Coturnix japonica: one gene and its partner. Each later gene encodes a partner of the first gene's protein in a complex. Links are inferred from orthologs where the notes say so. Each region holds a gene or a part of one and is shown on either strand. Other genes may lie near its edges.

Evidence for each region.
Region 2: the proteins of OPRK1 (region 1) and PDYN are in contact, whole or in part, in a cryo-EM structure (PDB 8F7W), measured with the Homo sapiens proteins. The link is inferred for Coturnix japonica from reciprocal best matches to the Homo sapiens genes OPRK1 and PDYN. Residues at the interface, in NP_000903.2 of Homo sapiens: Thr111, Gln115, Trp124, Val134, Ile135, Asp138, Tyr139, Met142, Lys200, Glu209, Cys210, Asp216, Tyr219, Lys227, Val230, Phe293, Ile294, Glu297, His304, Ala308, Leu309, Tyr312, Tyr313, Ile316, Tyr320; in NP_001177821.1 of Homo sapiens: Tyr207, Gly208, Gly209, Phe210, Leu211, Arg212, Arg213, Ile214.

What each region holds. Positions count from the first base shown.
Region 1 is NC_029517.1:99,604,102-99,607,912, reverse strand, and holds part of OPRK1 (kappa-type opioid receptor), read left to right. Parts: intron 1-642; coding exon 643-995; intron 996-3,811. UniProt on the Homo sapiens protein: G-protein coupled opioid receptor that functions as a receptor for endogenous alpha-neoendorphins and dynorphins, but has low affinity for beta-endorphins.
Region 2 is NC_029535.1:9,245,444-9,250,044, reverse strand, and holds the start of PDYN (proenkephalin-B), read left to right. Parts: upstream 1-1,534; 5' UTR 1,535-1,662; intron 1,663-3,808; 5' UTR 3,809-3,818; coding exon 3,819-3,950; intron 3,951-4,204; coding exon 4,205-4,601.

The DNA of each region.
Region 1 (3,811 bases):
TGTTTTTTTGTTTTTGGTTTTTTTTTTGTTTTGTTTTTGTTTTTGTTTTTTCCACTGAGATATCATACTTCAATAATTATCATACTTTATATTAGAAATCACGGTAGAGGAGACTGGAAAAAGCTGGAGATAAGAAAGGAAGAGAAATTGGAAATGTAGGAGCAAAGAAGAGAAACTTCTAGAACTGATACAAGATGGCAGTCTGGCCCAGCAAATGTAACTATTAACAGATATTCCTCTAGGGGAATGAAATACCTATTGCTCCTACAAAACAAACTCAGAAAATTTGTAACCACTGACAGCAACAAGAGAAGGAAACACAGAACAATTTTGTCACTTGCAAATGTAACAATGATATTTGTTTGTAGATGTATTTGAGAAGATAGCGTGGAAATCTGTATTTGAATATTTAGGTTTAATTTATTCATTATCTGGTTTTACATGTAGTGGGTAGCTGTAACTCATAATGTAGCTGCTGAGGGACTGAGAGAAGGGTGTTTACTGTTAATTCAAGGGTCCTGAATATGTGCATTTCTGTCAAAAATCTGAAATGATAGCAAAAAAAATAACAACAGCAGACTGGCTGAAAAATTGTTACATACTTGAACATAGTCACATAAACCGTACTTTTTTGTCTTTCAGATATACAAAGATGAAGACAGCAACCAACATCTACATTTTCAATCTGGCTATGGCAGATGCACTGGTTACCACGACTATGCCTTTCCAAAGCACAGAGTACCTGATGAACTCTTGGCCATTTGGGGATGTGCTGTGTAAAATAGTTATTTCAATTGACTATTATAACATGTTTACCAGCATATTCACACTGACCATGATGAGTGTTGATAGATACATTGCTGTATGTCACCCTGTGAAGGCTCTGGACTTCCGTACTCCTCTCAAGGCAAAGATAATCAACATCTGTATCTGGCTGCTGTCCTCGTCTGTTGGCATATCTGCCATAGTTCTTGGAGGCACCAAAGTCAGGGAAGGTGAGTGTGAGAATTCAAACCTGAGACTTTATTTTATTTGACACATTGCTTGGAATACTGACTACAGTTGATTGATTTTGACTTCAGTAATTTGTGCATATTTTACACTTAGAAGATCATTCACATTCCTTGTTTCAATAAGTATACCTAAATTTCTGACATTTCTAAATATGACATATAAATAATTTAAGCTCAGATGTCCTTGACAACTTAAAGAATCAAAAGTACTTTAAAGCACTATTTGTGCTAGACTGAGACCATAAGAAAATAACAACAGACAGCAGGGGGAGATGGTCAGGAATTTGAACATGGTTCAAAGACCAGATGAAACTTGAAATGTAGGCTTAGAGTTCTTTTTATAGGCATTGTGAGAGTAGTTCTGATGAAGTTTCAAGAGCAGAAACTAGATTGCTTCTCATCAGCATTAATGTTAAAGCTTGGGAGCTTTTTGTCAGCAGTCATTTCACAGAACTTAAGGATCTTGTGAAAAAAGGAAGAAAGACAGTAGAAGAAGAGAAAAAAAAAGGTAAGATAAATGCTAAGAAAATCACAGTGTCAGAAATTCTTATTTAAAAAGGAGTTGAGGACATGTATGTAGACTTGAAAAAGGCTGAGAATAAGCATCCGTTGACGAACCAAGAATGCAGAGCATGGCAGGGAAGAAACTACAAGAAAATAAAGTCAATCAATTTGTCCATGGAGCACCTGTAGACTCTACTTAAAATTTATAATCTGTGAAGGACTGCAGATTTAGCCCCTATATCCAGTGACTCATTACTAAATCTGTTCTGCTACAGAGTTAATCTTATTCTGAAATCCTTGAGAAGGGCAGATATATATTCTTCATACCAACAGGTGTACCAGCAATGTGGGTGCAACACTGTGTCTTCAAAAAGCTCAAAACCTTTAACGTATGTCCTGGTGTTGATGACATCCTGTTATGTTTGGCTTCACAAAATACAAGGCATACATATTTATTTAGTAGTAGTGTTGTCTGGGGTGTTTAACAAGTTGCTCATTTAGCTGCCTTTTCCACTAGGAAGTTTTCACTCCTCCCCGGAGAACTGGTAAACTTTATGTAAGGGCACAGTTTTATCTGGGAGAGAAAATTAATGTGGTGTGTTTAACAGTTTGGCATAGATAAGTGCAAACGAAACAATGGTGTTCATCAATAAAACAGCTGCTCAAGGGCTGTTTTATTTGATTGAGGATATTCAAATTTTTATTTTATTTTATTTTATTTATTTATCTATTTATTTATTTATTTCCCTGTTAGTCTTACAGTAGGTGTGTGAGGGGAGAGTGTCTCTGGAAACATCTTTTGGACATCTGGGAGTTCAAGCCTCCCAGTTTGCAGTGCTGTAACTCTTCTTCCCTATCAAGTTCTTTCAGGCCCTATAAAGCCATGTGCAGCTCAGGAAAAAATCACTTCCAAACACAGAAACAATTAAATGCCTTTTTCACACCTTGTGGCAGGTAGATATCTTTTCCTCCTGAAGTAGCTATTAGAGATACAGCTGGGCCAAATGAGGTTGGAAATCATCGGTAACTGTTTGTCAGTCCCTACTATTCATCCCTGCATGTCTGATCTACAGTGCCTCTTGAGCATTTACTACCAGTTATATTTTCTGGTGTGTTCATGAAGTGAACTTGTGCTGAGGCAAAGGGGATCCTCCTGACAGCTGGAGCTCAGGACAGAAACTTTATTTTACATTGGTAACAGTAGCTGCCATTTATATGCTATGGGGCCTCTGTTTGCTTTGGATTTAAACAAATCAACATCAAACAGAAACTGACTATATTTAAAGATTCAAGACCATGCTCAATTAGTCCTTTTTACTCTCACAGTGCAGGATTTCTCCCTGGAGTGTCCTTCCAGATTCATTTTCCTTATATCTGTATAAATTTTTCCTCTCTGGACTTAATGGAGCCTTTATTGCTGAAGAAGCATTTGCTTTAGAAAAGAAAGGGCACCAACGTGACAACTCAGTTGAGATGTTACTAAGATATCTAATAGAAATAAATATCCTGTACAAGGATTGAGATGAATCTTAAGTGGTAGATTATCAAATATTTTAATAAATCTTTATACCAAAGTGCCATCTGAAGTGACGTTTTCTTAAAATATATTGATACATTGGCTTCAGAGTGGACAAAGCACTATAAATCTTAAATGCTTATTTTATGACACTGTACTGCTATACCTAGTTCTGAACTTCAGGAAAGAAGTACCCCAGAAGAACCCTGGGTTTTATTCTTTCCCCAAACACCTGAAGATGATCATGATATTGTGTCTCTGACAGGGATATTTATTGGTCATTGATGTAAACCACAAAGAAGTAAAAGGATTCCATGTGGCATCCGTGTCATTGGGAAAGACAACTTTATTAATTTAGGATAAGATTTATTTTTTTTAATAAAGTAAATTTCTATGACATCTAAAACAGCCATTACATTTATTTTTGATAATTTGGGCTGCTGGAATATCACTGTCATTTATGAAATTAAATAAAATGTAGCAAGCATTGCTGTATTTTTTTTCTGTGAAGGAGATAAAGAATTTCTTTTGAGAATGTTCTTATTAAAAATGTTTCCAAAATTAAAACTGAATCAATTATACTAATGCTTTCTTTTAAACTTTTCAGAGTATACTTATGCTTATATTTTATTTTTATTTTTGTATACATTAAATTTAATGTTATATTAGTGCTTATTTGTACTTATTTGGTATACTGGTATACCAGTACTTATTTTAATATTAAAACATTTGTTTATATTTGTTACATACTTAATTCCACGTTTTTATAACAATAATT
Region 2 (4,601 bases), on another chromosome or scaffold:
TGCAGCAAGAGAGGTGGAGGCACCTGCTCCATCCCGTGCTCTTGGGGTTAGCTCAGCCACCAGGAGCCCCACTGCCTATGGAGCAATCACATGGGGATGGGGATGCTCCAGATGTGTGCTGGGAGCTGGTGCTGCTGCCAGCAGGGCTGCTTTTGGGATGCTCCACACCATGATCCCTGGGCATGATCACCTGGAGACGGGGCTCCCAGGGCAGCTACAGCAGGATGGGAACTAACAGTGCACCAGCAGGAGGTTGGGTTTGGGGGACGTGCAGGGTGAGACAGGAACTGCTTCTACTTTCAGCATGAGAACCCTCTGTGGAACCCCGTGGTGTTCAGTAGTGAGGGTGAAACCTCCTGGGGCTGCCCGCATAGCACTGAGGATGCCACTGTGGTTTGTGGCTGCTTTTTGTTCTCGGCTTTGTTCTGCACCTACAAACCTTCAGCTGGGGGTGAAAACACAGCTAACACAGCTGTCCTCTGCCTGTGCCTCCATGGGGACTGAGCATCCCCATCCCTGCAGCACTGCCACCTCCCAGCACAGCTTCTGCAGGTGACATCCCCTCCATCAGCCCTGGGAGATGCTCGGCCCTTGCTTCACCTCTCCATGCCCTGCTCCTTTAGTGCCTGAGTGAGCCCAAACCCACACCCAGCAAAACCCACGAAGTGCCACGTGCCGTCCATATGTGGCACCCCAAAGGTGGTGGCAGCAGTGCAGGCAACCAGCTCCCAGCCGTGCCCATTCCCCTGTGCTTGGGGAAGGCTGAGCGCAAGCACCACGTCCAGCAGCTGGTGCTCGAGCCGGGGAGAGAGGCAGGTTGCTGGGAAACATCCCTCTTGAGCACCCGATAAAAATAGCTCCGTCTTCAAGGCGAGAGGGCAGGCTGCGCTGCAGCCAGTGGGGCAGTGGGGATGGGATGGGGATGGGGATGGAATGGGGGCAGAGTGCCTTGGTCTGGTGTGTAGGCACTGGGGCTGTCAGGATGCAGTGCTGATGGGGCTCTGTGGTTCATGGGCTGGGGGTTCCCCAGCACTGTCCATCCCCAAATTGGGCTTAGAGATATGTGCCCAGGGTATGGGGCTAAGCAGAGGGTGTAGGAGCTCCCTGCCTCCCACCACCACTCTCCCCCAGCCCTTTTGGATTCGCTTCTTTGAGTTTGCCCCCAGGAGGAGTTTGGGTTTGCCCCTTGCCCTTTGTGTGGCCTCCATCCTCTCCCCAGCTTCAACACAGGGCTGGGGCTTCTCCCAAGCTGGGAGCATGAGGCTGGGGGCTCCCCATCTCCCCCACCTCGGGCAGGGCTCGCATTCAGCACCCAGCAGCTAAGAGAGACCCCCACCCACTGCCCGTGCCGAGGACCCCAACGGGGTAGCAGCAACCAGGGGGCAACCTGGAGCGCTCACACCCAATCCCTGGGGGCTGCAGCGACGGAGCCCACCAGGGCTGTGTCGGGGATGCTGCGGGGCTGATTATTCACAGCTTTCCTCGCCCCGATTGGCTCCGCAGCGCTGAGCGGTGTGGGGCCCCGCCGCAGGAGGAGACTCGGTGGCCATAAAAGCTGGCGGGCGGGCGGCGGGCGGTGAGTTACGGTGCGCACCCAGCGTGGCCCATGCCCAGCTCAGCCTGACCTGAGAGCGCAGCACAGCGGGACGGGGCGCACAGCAGGTAGGGTCGGGGTGCATGGATTTGGGGTTCCCTTCCCTTTACCCGCACGCACCTTGATGCTGGGCATCACTGCTGCTCGAGGGACTGTGACTCAGTTTGTTTCTAAGCGTCCCCGAGCTGCCGTGCTGGGAGCGTCTCACACTTTACTCGTTGCTTTATTGCTTTATTTCAAGACTCACACGTTCGCTGCAGGTGCCCCACTCATCCCCTGGTGGTTTCGCAGCATCGCTTTGCTGGGGCTTGGGGTGATACTGGTGCCATGGCTGTGTGCTCATATGGAGACAGCGCAACCCCAGAGCAAAGCTGAGCTCAGGGGGAGGGCAGGGGGAATGGGGTGGGTGATGGCACAGTGCTGGGTGTGCCGTGATGGTGGTCGAAAGGTCATGTAAGGAGTGGAAAGAGCTGCTGGGAGCGGGCTCTGCTCCTCCACAAGTGTCTGTGTGTCTCAAACTGCCTGGGAGAAACACCTGCAGCTTGGGTGTCTGCACTGCGAGGTGACATCTCAGTGTAGAAATGCTCAGAGATGCAGCGGGTGATGGCTGGGAGCAAAGCCCTCCATGGCCGTGCTGTGCTCTGTCACCTGCTGCACACTCAGGGCTGTTCTCCATCCCTCTGTGCTGGTGCAGCCGGGGTTGGAACCCAGAGCTGTGGTGCACAGACACACCTGGGGCTGTCCTGTGTGTTGGCACCAAAAACCTGAACAGAAAAAGGGGCAGAGAAGGAGTGGCCACGCAGCAAACACAGGACGCAGGGAGGAACCCAGAGCTGCCCTGGTCCCTTGCAGCTCTGCTGTGACCATGCAGACTCATTCCCCAGGATGGATGTTCCAGGCAGAGCTCACCTCAGGGTGCTCCAGGTCTCACGGTCCCACACTCCAAACCCATTATTCTTCCTCTTCCCTTTGTCTGTCCCCTTTTTGAGCATCTCTTTTCACTTTCCTCCAAGCCCTGCTTTACCTCCCCTTTCCCTGCCCTGCTCTCTCCATCTTTACTGAGGTACGTTCACATTGGGTGCATGGAGCACTGCAGGGCTGCAGCTTCCAGGCACAATAGCACAGCCAGCATTTACCTTAGCAGCAGGTGAGTCCTCTCTCCTCGCTCGGAGCCATTGAGATGAGCAGGGGCTGTCAGTGCTGCTGTGCCCATGTCTGTGCCCATCCCAAGGTGATGCACTCGGGTTATGTGGTGCAGCTGAAGAATGCAGATTTCTCGACACACTATGGTGCAGATTATTCAAATTCAAATTTAATTTAGCACGAATTAATACTGTGGCATTAACAATTCTTCATCAGCTCCAATTAGAGTACATTAGCAGACAGCGCTGAAGAATACAATAGTCTCTAATATGCGTCATTAACGTGTAACTGATCCCTCTGGGTCATGCCTTCCCACCTTGGATTGAAGTAGGCGCAGAGGCAGTGGGATGCTGTTGGGTCGGCTCTTGCTCCTGGGATTGGTGGCACTGCGGCCCTTGGGTTCTGCAGGTGTTGCTCAGGGTTCTGGTGCCCCACTCCATCCCCCTGCACAGTGTATGCAGCCCTCCTGGCCTCGTGCAGGGCTCTCGGAGCCTGGAGGATGGTGGTTGCAGCCAGCAGGTAGGAATAAGCCTGAGATCAGCGTTCTCCCCCTCCCCACGCAGATGCAGCAGGTGGGATGAGGGATGCAGGGGACACAGCATGGGGCGAGGCTGTGCTGGAGGTGGGTGACCTGTTGCTTCAGTGCTACCCTGCATCCTGTCTCCTTCTGCTAGCAGCTCTATGTCTTAGCACTATTCTTTCCCAAGGCCAAGGGGAGGGCTGATTCATCCCCTCTGTGCCATGCAAACGTGCGATCGCAATATTGCAGAGAGATGTGATGCTGGAAGGAACGAGAGACTGCCTGCAAATGGTACGTGCTGGGTGGTGGGAGGGCTGGGATGGGGCTTTGGTCCTTGTGCGTGAACCCACACGGGGTCAGTGTCCTGCAGCATCCCTTGGGTCGCTCCCAAATCCCAGAGGTAAGTCAGGTGGGTGCAGGCACAGCTCCCCAGGAGCAGGCAGAGGAGGTAGGTACCTGCTGCCCACCGACGGGCTCTGGGCATGGGCAGATGTTGTCTCCCAGCTCTGTGTTCAGATGGGTGATGCTGTCTGTACTCTCACCCTCCCCAGGCAGCGGGGCATGATGGCACAGCAGGTGCTGGCGCTGGTTCTCTGCCTCTCCCTGGCTGCAACAGCTTCTGCCGACTGTGCAACCCAGTGCTCCCTCTGTACCAACCAGGCACGTGGCACCGAGAGCAGCATCCAGCCCCTGGTGAGTGTTGGCCCCGAGCAGCCCCCAGCATTCAGCACTGAGGTACAACAGCAGGGACAGCTCGGGGATGACACAGGGTGGTGGTGCATGGTCTGTGGGTTGCTGTCACTGGCACCCAGAGGTTCTAGGAAGGCACAAAGTTTGGCTCCTTGTGAGCTTGGCAGCATGAATCCAGGGGATGGGATGGCGACAGATGGGGTGGTGGTACCTGATTGCTGGGTGATGCTGGTGGTGCCATGGCTGCTGTCTTGCAGATGTGCCTGTGGCAGTGCCAGGGCTCCTCTCCGCCCGGTGCTGAGTGGGAGAGCTGCAGGAAGGCGCTGGCACTCCTGGCCCCGTTGGTGGCCCTGGCTGAGGGGACAGAAGGAACAGACCCATCCCCAGCAGAGGTGGAGGATGAGGCAGAGCCAGAGCAGGATCCCAGCCCTGAAGAGCTGCCGCTGGCACCAGCCAAACGCTACGGAGGCTTCATGAAGAAGCTGGCCAAGGGGAGGCTGCTGTCCCTGCTGCGTGACAACACCCACAGCAAGGGCAGCCTCAGCAAGAAGTCAGGGGGCTTCAGCCACAACCCAGGGGAGCGGGCAGCCCCTGAGAACTACCCAGGGCTGGGGGAGGGTGAGGAGCCTGAGGGTGCGGGGGCTGAGGGGCAGG